Oryctolagus cuniculus: one gene and its partners. The protein of the gene in region 2 interacts with the protein of the main gene of each other region in a biochemical or structural test. Links are inferred from orthologs where the notes say so. Each region holds a gene or a part of one and is shown on either strand. Other genes may lie near its edges.

What was found.
Region 1: of the proteins of OXSR1 (region 2) and WNK1, one has a biochemical effect on the other in vitro, tested with the Homo sapiens proteins (2 studies listed by BioGRID and IntAct, with this or other methods). The link is inferred for Oryctolagus cuniculus from reciprocal best matches to the Homo sapiens genes OXSR1 and WNK1.
Region 3: the proteins of OXSR1 (region 2) and WNK4 are reported together in a solved structure, tested with the Homo sapiens proteins (2 studies listed by BioGRID and IntAct, with this or other methods). The link is inferred for Oryctolagus cuniculus from reciprocal best matches to the Homo sapiens genes OXSR1 and WNK4.

The regions. Positions count from the first base shown.
Region 1 is NC_091440.1:98,701,308-98,704,807, forward strand, and holds part of WNK1 (serine/threonine-protein kinase WNK1), read left to right. Parts: coding exon 1-82; intron 83-1,299; coding exon 1,300-1,462; intron 1,463-2,344; coding exon 2,345-2,461; intron 2,462-2,795; coding exon 2,796-2,969; intron 2,970-3,173; coding exon 3,174-3,231; intron 3,232-3,500. UniProt on the Homo sapiens protein: Serine/threonine-protein kinase component of the WNK1-SPAK/OSR1 kinase cascade, which acts as a key regulator of blood pressure and regulatory volume increase by promoting ion influx.
Region 2 is NC_091435.1:174,433,305-174,436,804, reverse strand, and holds part of OXSR1 (serine/threonine-protein kinase OSR1), read left to right. Parts: intron 1-2,605; coding exon 2,606-2,739; intron 2,740-3,500. UniProt on the Homo sapiens protein: Effector serine/threonine-protein kinase component of the WNK-SPAK/OSR1 kinase cascade, which is involved in various processes, such as ion transport, response to hypertonic stress and blood pressure.
Region 3 is NC_091448.1:20,117,047-20,119,894, reverse strand, and holds the end of WNK4 (serine/threonine-protein kinase WNK4), read left to right. Parts: intron 1-90; coding exon 91-698; intron 699-775; coding exon 776-836; intron 837-938; coding exon 939-1,335; intron 1,336-1,421; coding exon 1,422-1,621; intron 1,622-1,770; coding exon 1,771-1,985; 3' UTR 1,986-2,348; downstream 2,349-2,848. UniProt on the Homo sapiens protein: Serine/threonine-protein kinase component of the WNK4-SPAK/OSR1 kinase cascade, which acts as a key regulator of ion transport in the distal nephron and blood pressure.

The DNA.
Region 1 (3,500 bases), on a different chromosome or scaffold from region 2:
CTCAGGTTGCTCCTCCAGAACCAGTTCCAGTAGCACAGCCACAACCTCCCCAGCCTCCCACATTGGTTTCCTCTATAGACAGGTATGTAAAACTAAAAACTCCTTCCTCAACCGGTAGGTAGAATAGTATGAAACTTCAAAATATCAGACTTTTGAGGTATGCATTGTGGTACAGCAGGTTAGGCCACCAGTTGGTACATCCGCATCCCATATTGGTGCGCCTGCAATCAAGTCCCATGTCTCTGCTTCTGATTGGCTTCCTGCTAATACACCTGGAAGTTAACAGATAGGGATTCAGGTTGTGAATCCCTGCCACCCACCTGGGAGACACAGGTGGAGTTCCTGGCTCTTGGCTTCAGCCTGACCTGGCAGCAGATCGCAGGCATTTGGTGGGTGATACAGCAAATGGAAGTTGTCTCTTTCTTTTTTCTCTAGCTCTCGTTCTTTCAAATACATAAAAATGAATAGGGACTGACATTGTCATGTAGCAAGTTAAGCTGCCACCTTCGCTGGCATTCCATTATGGGCACAGGCTGTTTGAAGTTCCAGCTGCTCCACTTCTTTTTTTTTTTTTTTTTTTTTTTTTTTTTTTTTTTTGACAGTCAGGGTGGACAGTTGAGAGAGAGATACAGAGAGAAAGGTCTTCCTCCTTTTTGCCGTTGGTTCACCCTCCAATGGCCGCCGCAGCCGGTGCACCACGCTGATCCGATGGCAGGAGCCAGGTGCTTTTCCTGGTCTCCCATGGGGTGCAGGGCCCAAGCACCTGGGCCATCCTCCACTGCACTCCCTGGCCACAGCAGAGAGCTGGCCTGGAAGAGGGGCAACCGGGACAGAATCCGGCGCCCCGACCGGGAGTAGAACCCGGTGTGCCGGCGCCGCTAGGCGGAGGATTAGCCTAGTGAGCCGCGGCGCCGGCCTGCTGCTCCACTTCTATTCCAGCTCCTTGCTACTAATGCTCCTGAGAAAGGAGTGGAATATAGCTGAAGTGTTTAAGTCCCTGTACCCATGTGAAAGACCCAGATGGAGTTCCAGGTTCCTGGCTTTAGCCTGGTTCAGCCCTGGCTGTTACAGCCATTGGAGGAGTGAACCAGCAACGAAGGAGCTTTCTCTCTCTCTCTCTCTCTCTCTCTCTCTCTCTCTGTCTCTGTCTCTGTCTCTCTGTCTCTCTCTCTCACTCTGTGTGTGTGTGTGTGTGTAACTGCCTTTCAAATAAATAAATCTTTTAAAAATTTAAATATATATATATAAATATCAGATTTTAAATCTTATATTGAAATTAAAAGCTTTTTTTTTTTTAAGTGCACATTCAGATGTTGCTTCAGGGATGAGTGATGGCAATGAGAATGTCCCAACCTCCAGTGGAAGGCATGAAGGGAGAACTACAAAACGACATTATCGAAAATCTGTGAGAAGTCGATCTCGTCATGAAAAGACTTCACGCCCAAAATTGAGAATTTTGAATGTAAGTATTGCTGATTCATGGACTTCATATTGTTAAACAAATTTTGCCAGCCTGGCGCTGTGGCACAGCAGGTTAACACCCTGGCCTGAAGTGCTGGCATCCCCTATGGACGCTGGTTCGAGACCCAGCTGTTCCACTTCCTGCCCAGCTCTCTGCTGTGGCCTGGGAAAGCAGTAGAAGATAGTCCAAGTCCTTGGGCCCATGCACCCGCGTGGGAGACCCAGAGGAAATTCTTGGCTCCTGGCTTTGGATCGGCACAGCTCCAGCCATTGCAGCCAATTGCGGAATGAACCATTGGGTAGAAGACCTCTCTCTCTCTCTCTCTCTCTCTCTGTCTCTGCCTCTCCTCTCCCTGTGTAACTCTTTCAAGTAAAATAAATAAATCTTTAAAAAAAAAAGGAATTTGGCACTAAGTGGAATTTTAGAGGTCACAGTGATGGTTCAGGTAATTGGGTTCCTACCACCCACATAGGAGGCCTGGATTGAGTACCTAGCTCCTAGCATTGGTCCTTCAGCTGTTGTGGGCATTTGAAGAGAGCCAGTAGACAGGTTCGTTCGTTCTCTCTCTCTCTCTCTCTTTTGTCCTCTCTCTCTGCCTCTCAAACAAACAAAAATCTAAAAAGAAAATGGGTAAAGAGTTTTAACTTGTAGGAAAGAAATCTTTATATTCCTTCCATAGTCTTTAGGGAGTAGCTCAAAGTCCAATACCATTTCAGATTTTTCTAGTTACCAGTTGAAGAGACAAAAGTACTGTGGTCCAAGGAACAGTGATAACACCATGCTTCCTGAGGCTTAAATTCAACTGCTAATCTGGATGACTTTTCTCAAATTTGGTAATAAACCTGAATATGGTTTTGAGATGAAGTTCCTTTCCCTTTTTAGGTTTCAAATAAAGGAGATCGAGTAGTAGAATGTCAGTTAGAGACTCATAATCGGAAAATGGTTACCTTCAAATTTGACCTAGATGGTGACAACCCTGAGGAGATAGCAACAATTATGGTATGTCTGTATTTGTGTTCCAAATTTTTCTTTTGTACTTCATCTTAATATCCATTGCTCTGCGCAAATAGGCAGTGTCTTATAATCTGTGTTTATCTTGTCAGTCGTATATTTATTCCAATGTAAATGTAACTAACATACCCAACTTGTGGTTTAGAAATATTTTGTCTAGGACATGTCTAACTAGGTACTGAAGTTCTTAAACAGGGAAGAGCTAACACTAAGTAAATAATAAAATTGATATGTAAATAGAAGTTTTTGAAAGTTGTATTTAAATGATTTAAACCTTAAGAAATGTCACACTAATCAGACTGACATCACATTTCTTTCACAGGTGAACAATGACTTTATTTTAGCAATAGAGAGGGAGTCATTTGTGGATCAAGTGCGAGAAATTATTGAAAAAGCTGATGAAATGCTCAGTGAGGATGTCAGTGTGGAACCAGAGGGTGACCAGGGATTGGAGAGTCTTCAAGGAAAGGATGACTATGGCTTTTCAGGTTCTCAGGTAGGTTTTCCATTCCATAGTGAAGCTTTGTTAATTTAAAATATTCTCATAGCACTGTATTTGCATGCATATTTATATATCAAATAATATCATATTATGCCTATGACTAAGAGCATTTATGTTCTCTTCACATGTGGCAGTTGGCTTTGTCTAATTGTTGAGATGGTTTTTGAGAATGAATGTCATCACTTTTGTTTGTTGTAGAAATTGGAAGGAGAGTTCAAACAACCAATTCCTGTATCTTCCATGCCGCAACAAATAGGTGAATTTCTCTTCTTGTCTATTTTTACCTTTTACTTGAGTAGTTATTTGTGCCAATAATGAAATTCTTGAAGCTTCATGTTGGTAATGATATATATAATAATACTGCAGCCGGCGCCGCGGCTCACTAGGCTAATCCTCCGCCTAGCGGCGCCGGCACACCGGGTTCTAGTCCCGGTCGGGGCGCCGGATTCTGTCCCGGTTGCCCCTCTTCCAGGCCAGCCCTCTGCTGTGGCCAGGGAGTGCAGTGGAGGATGGCCCAGGTGCTTG
Region 2 (3,500 bases):
CCAGGAGCCAGGAGCTTCCTCCAGGTCTCCCACGTGGCTGCAGGGCCCCAAGGACTTGGCCGTCTTCTGCTGCTTTCCCAGGCCACAGCAGAGCGGGATGGGAAGTGGTGCAGCCGGGACTCAAACTGGTGCCCGTATGGGATGCCAGCGCTGCAGGCAGTGGCTTTACCCAGGATACCACAGTGCTGGCCCCTGTACTACGTTTTAAAGTTCCAGTCCTCCAGCTGTGTTCTTTTCAAGATTGTTGTAACTGTTTGGGTCCTTTGACATTCCATTTAGATTTTAGGATAAGCTTTTCTGTTGCTATTAAAAATGTCACTGGGGTTTCGGTACAGTTTGCTTGGAATCTGTAGACTGCTTTGGACGGTATTGACATTGTAATGATGTTGTCTTCGAATCTGTAAATATAGTGTATATTTGTATTTGTTTTTGTCATCTTTAATTTCTTTCATGAATATTTTGTAGTTTTCAGTGTACAAGTACTTTAGTTAATTCCTGAATTTTTTATTGTTTTTGATGTTAACATAAGTGGAATTGTTTTTCTAAATCCTTTTCAGGTTCTTCATTGTTAATGTAAAGAAATGCAAGTGTTTTTTTTTTTTTTTTTTTTTAAAGATTTTTTTTTATCTGAAAGTTAGAGTTACATGAGAAGGAGAGGCAGAGAGAAAGGTGGGGGGGGAGGTCTTTCTTCCATTGGTTAACTCCCCAGTTGGCGGCAACAGCCGGAGCTGCACTGATCGGAATCCAGGATCCAGGAACCAGGAGCCAGCAGCTTCCTCAGGGTCTCCCACGTGGGTGCAGGGGCCCAAGGACTTGGGCCATCCTCCACTGCTTTCCCAGGCCACAGCAGAGAGCTGCATTGGGAGTAGAGCAGCGATGACTTGAACCGGCACCCACATGGGATGCTGGCACTGCAGGCGGTGGCTTTACCCACTGTGCCATAGTGCCGGCCCCACAAGTGACTTTTGTGTTAACTTTCTATCCTGCTTTTTGATGAATATATTTGTTTTCATAGTTTTTTTTTTTTTAGAGGTTCATTTGAAATGCAGAGTGACAGATTAGAATAAAAGCTTTCAGTATTTCACCACTAAGTATAATGTTTGCTGTGAGATTTTCTTATATGCCTTTTATTAAGTTGAGGTAGTTACTTTATATTCTTAGTTTGTGGAGTGATTTTTTTTTAAATCATGAAAGGGTTCTGGAAGTAGAGGTCAGACTGTGAGACAGGACTCCATCCCAGGAGGGTCAGTGTGGGCTGTGGCTGTCCCAAGGATCTGCTTAGCTCCACTGAGCCCCAAAAGCCACCCCAGCATAACAGCGCCGAAGGACACACACCACCACATCCTGCTGCACACACGTGAGCTCCTGGCCTCGTGTCTCTGCACCAGGCTGTCATGCTGCCCAGAAGCTCAGAGAGGGAAGACTTAGGGTGCACAGGGGAGTCAAGAGTGTCACCCGCTGCAGAGCACAGCAAGATCGTGGACCTGCGGTCTGCGGCTTTGTTTACCAGGACTTCTTTGTGATTTTTGTTTTTAAAGATTTATTCATTGATTTGAAAGGCAGAATTAGAGGGAGGGGCAGAGAGCGCGAGAGCGCGAATTATCTTCCGGTTACTGGCTCACTCAGCAAACGTTGCGCTGGCCAGGGCTGGCCCAGGCTGTGGCCAGGAGTTAAGGTGCAGGGCCCGAGGACTTGGGCCATCTTCCGCTGCCTTCCCAGGCCACAGCAGGGAGCTGGATCGGAAGTGGAGCAGCCAGGACTGAAACCGGCGCCCCTGTGGGATGCCCGTGTGATGGATGGCAGCTTAACCTGCTGTACCGCAGCGCCGGCCCGGTGATTTCTGTTAGGGGTCCTGAATAATAGGAAAAGAAGACCATCTCACAGACGCGGAGTGAAAACAGGGCCCTGACAGGCACGATCGGCGGGCTCGTGCTCCTAGTCTTGCTCTGGTTTTAGTGTGTTTTTAGGTGATTTGGTAGAATAGGAATTTATTGAGGATACAAAGAAAGAATCCAACTCAAGGACATTAGCAGTGTTGATACAGTGGGCCCCTACAGCTAGTGGGGGGGCGGTGCTTTGGCAGTAGCCGGTAAAGCTGGCACCTACAGTGCTGGCGTCCCATATGGGCTGCTCCACTTCTGATCCCGCTCTCTGCTGTGGCCTGGGAAGGCAGTAGAAGATGGCCCAAGTCCTTGGGCCCCTGCACCCATGTGGGACACCCGGAGGAAGTGCCTGGCTCCTGACTTCGGGTCGGCGCAGCTCCAGCCATTGCAGCTAATTGGGGAATGAACAAGCAGGTGGAAGACTTCTATCTCTCTCTCTCTGCCTCTCCTTCTCTCTGTGTAACTCTGACTTTCAAATAAATAAATCTTAAAAAAAAAAAAAAAAGGTGGTCTGGGACGCCAGTTATCTGTAATATTTTATTTATATAGGAAGACACATAAATAACTCTGGATTTAAATGACTCACCTAGATGTGAACTTTTAGAAAATCGGATCTGCTTGTCTGTGGTGGTGATCGCCTGTTTTGAAAACTCTTGTCCACAGTTGTTAATTAAACTTTATTGAGTCGCTGGAACTTTATACTGTATTGTAAATTCTTACAGGTTTTAATGCTGACGCTGCAGAATGATCCTCCGTCTTTGGAAACTGGTGTTCAAGATAAAGAAATGCTGAAAAAATATGGAAAATCATTTAGAAAAATGATTTCATTGTGCCTTCAAAAAGATCCGGAAAAGAGGTAAAGTATGAGATAAACTTGACTTTGTTTTGTGTCTGACATGGTGAGCCAGTGGGGGAAGTCCAAGAATCACATGCTGGTAAGCATGGAGAATTTTTGGTGCTTATTCAGAAGAAATGAGTACAGACTTCAAAAAAGAAAGCGTGCAGAAGCCCCTGCCCAGGCCAGGCTGGGGATGAGTGGACGGTTGCTGTCTTCTTAGTGCACAGTATGTCCTGACAGGACAGCTGTCTCCTGGCTAATTTCTTATGATTATTAAATTTGTACTGTGAATTCTGTCCAGCTGGATTGATAGACTAGTAGAGAGGTTTCTTTCCAATTTGCATGTAAAATGCATGAACAAATAGATCTAAATGTTAACATTTACAGTGTTAATAGCAAAAGAAATACATATAGCAAACTTACATTCAGTGTCTAGCAGTTGTACATATTTTCATGTTAGGAAGCTGTTTTAGTAGGAAGACCAAAACTTGAAATAACTTATTTGTCAATACTAGACAGATTGAATGGCAAGGGAGCAAATGAGTAAGAAGAATATCAAAGTGTGTAACTTTATGAATTAAGCAGTCACAGAACGCTGGAGATCAGCGACTTTTGTCTTTGAGGTCACACACATCCTAGTCACGACTTGGAACTTGAATGCCACATCCTGGTTCCTGCGTTAGGACTCTTCCCATCTTAACTTCTGGGTTCACACACACGGTCCCCCCCTGTCTGCGGGTTCTGCATCCACCACTCTGCTAGCTGCAGGTCGAAAGTGT
Region 3 (2,848 bases), on a different chromosome or scaffold from region 2:
CCCTGCTCAGCCCAGCCCCTGGGGTGCTCCTGGGAAGGGCGTGGGGCCTGGGAACTAACTGGAATCTCAACACGCCCTCCTCCTCCGCAGAGCCCCCGAGTGGCACCTCCCCGGAGCAGAGGAGCTGGGCAGCCTTCTCCACCTTCCCAGCCCCTGACACCCCCTTGTCTCCTGGCACCCCCTTGTCTCCTGGCACCCCCATTTTCCCAGGTCCCATCTTCCCCATTACTTCTGCCCTCTGCCAGCCCGGCCTCTCCCTGTTCTCCCCCATCGCCTCTCAGGTCTCCCCGAGCCCCGCTCCACAGCCCCCCAGCTCTCCACTCCCGTTTTCCTCCAGTGCGCCCCTGTTTCCCACCCCATCCTCCCCACTTCCCCAGAGCTCCCTCCCACCTGGTGCTGCACTCCCATTCTCTCCCAGTGGCTCCCAAGTCACTTCTAATCCTGATTCCTTCCCTCCCAGCCCCTCCCCGCCTCCCCTGGCCCCCCCTACTGCCGCCCCCCTCCTCTCTCTGGCAAGTGCCTTCTCCCTGGCTGTGATGACTGTGGCCCAGTCTCTGCTGTCCCCCTCACCCAGCCTCCTGTCCCAGTCTCCCTCTGCCCTGCCGTGTCCCTTACCTAGTCTGCCCTCTGCCCCTCCTTCTCTCCCCCCTGCTCCTCATGGCCAGGAGGGCCCTGCAGAGGCAGAGGCAGAGAGTGAGGTGAGTAGGGACACGGGGGCGGGTGAGGGAGGCTCCATTCTGGACCGCTTCCTTCCTCACGGCCCCGCACTGTTCAGGCCTGCCCAAATCCTGCTCGGCCACTCCTGGGTGAAGCGAGACTGGCGCCCATCTCGGAAGGTGAGACCTCGCCAACCACGGACTTGCCCCTGCCCATCATCCCCACCCCACTCTGTGTCGCCACTGACTGCTCTCCCTCCCTCCCGCCCTGTCTACCTGCAGAGGCAAAACCCCAGCTTGTCGGGCGCTTCCAAGTGACTTCCTCCAAAGAACCAGCTGAGCCGCAACCCACCCCCCCAGCTCTCTCCAGTCCTCTGCAGCTTCCGACCCCCCAGCTGACCTCAGAGAGCTCCGACACGGAGGACAGTGCTGCAGGCGGGCCAGAGACCAGGGAGGCGCTGGCAGAGAGCGACCGCGCCACCGAGGGCCTGGGGGCTGGAGCTGAGGAAGGGGACCTTGGGAAGGAACCCCGAGTTGGTGGTAGCCCCCCAGCCCTGAGCTACGCCAGCCCGGTGTGGATGAACTGCTCCTACAGCAGCCTGTGTCCGAGCAGCGAGGAGTCGGAGAGCAGCGGGGAGGACGAGGAGTTCTGGGCCGAGCTGCAGAGTCTCCGGCAGAAGTGAGTCTCTCCCGGGAGGATGGAGGCGCGACCTTGGGCAAGCAGGGTGTGGCCAGCCCTCTCATGCCCCCTTGCTGCGTCCTCAGGCACTTGGCCGAGGTGGAGGCACTACAGACGGTACAGAAAAAGGAGATTGAGGACTTGTACAGCCGGCTCGGGAAGCAGCCCCCGCCGGGCATCGTGGCTCCGGCCGCCATGCTGTCCAGCCGCCAGCGCCGCCTGTCCAAGGGCAGCTTCCCCACCTCCCGCCGCAACAGCCTGCAGCGCTCCGAGCCCCTGGGCCCTGGTGAGACGGCGGCCGCCCAGCTTCCACCTTTCTCCTGAGACTCCTTCCCTGCGGCTCGCTCTTCGTTCAGGCCCTGGGGGTCTGCCCCTGGTTGGGGGGACTAGCCCCCTCCCTCACGCAGTGCTCTCCCTCCCCCGCCCTGCCCTCAGGCATCTTGCGGAGGAACTCTCTGAGTGGCAGCAGCACCGGCTCCCAGGAGCAGCGGGCAAGCAAGGGGGTGACATTCGCCGGGGCTGTCGATGTTGGCAGTGGCAGGCTGGTGAGGGCGGGCCCGAGGGAGGGAGCCCAGGGCACAGCGCCTGGCTGCGGCGTCGCCCCTCCCAGCCTGAGGTCTCCTCAGCGGCCTCTCTTTTCCCTCCAGTGAATTCAGTGCAGAAGCCAGGTGTCCCCCCACTCCAGGGCCCACCATGGGGCTTGTGCTCTCAGAATCTGATGCTTTTCTGATCAACACAACTCAGCAAGGAGGACCCCAGCGCTGAGGGGGTAGAAGCAGGGGGCATGGAGGAGGCAGCTCCATTACAGCGAAGAGCCAAGCATGGGGAGACTGCTGGCTGTGTGTGGGGTGCCACTGCTGCAGCCCACCCTCCCTCCCCAGCCAAGGGTCAACCACTAAGCAAGCCCACCCCAGCCCAGCCGCTTGTAGAGGGCCCGCTCCCAGCTGGGAGCGTACTAGAGGCGTGCGCACACCACAGTCAGCAGCAGCCAATAAAAGCGCTGGAAACAAGGACTGCGACTCTCCGTGCCTTAGGAGCTGGCGGACAAAGCCTTGTGGGGTGAGGCCAGGGGAGGATTCAGAAGGGCCTCTCCCAGTGGGAGGCAGGGGTGCCAGCTGCCTGGCTTTGTGGCTTCCTGTCACCAGGGCAGAGGACGCAGCAAGGTCAGTGACCCGCCTGAGTGGACATCCTCTCCAGATCCTACCTGGACACGCAGGTACCCGCGAAAAAAAGAATGGAGGCTGCTGTCCCCTACCCCTCATCCACCCCTCTCTCGGGGTGGCAAAAGGCAGTGACGCTAAAGTGTGTTCTCGTGGGCAGGGGACGGAAGACTGACCCCTCAGGTCCTGGTTCAGTCTCCAACAGCCTAGTGATCGCTCCCTGGAATCAGGTAGAAAGATCTCACAGAAAAAGTAACTGTAGTTAAACATTTACAGCTCCCTGGGGCACTGCCACTGCCCAGCCACGGCCTGGGCAGCTTCCAGCACCTCTCATCCCCCACACACTCGATGGG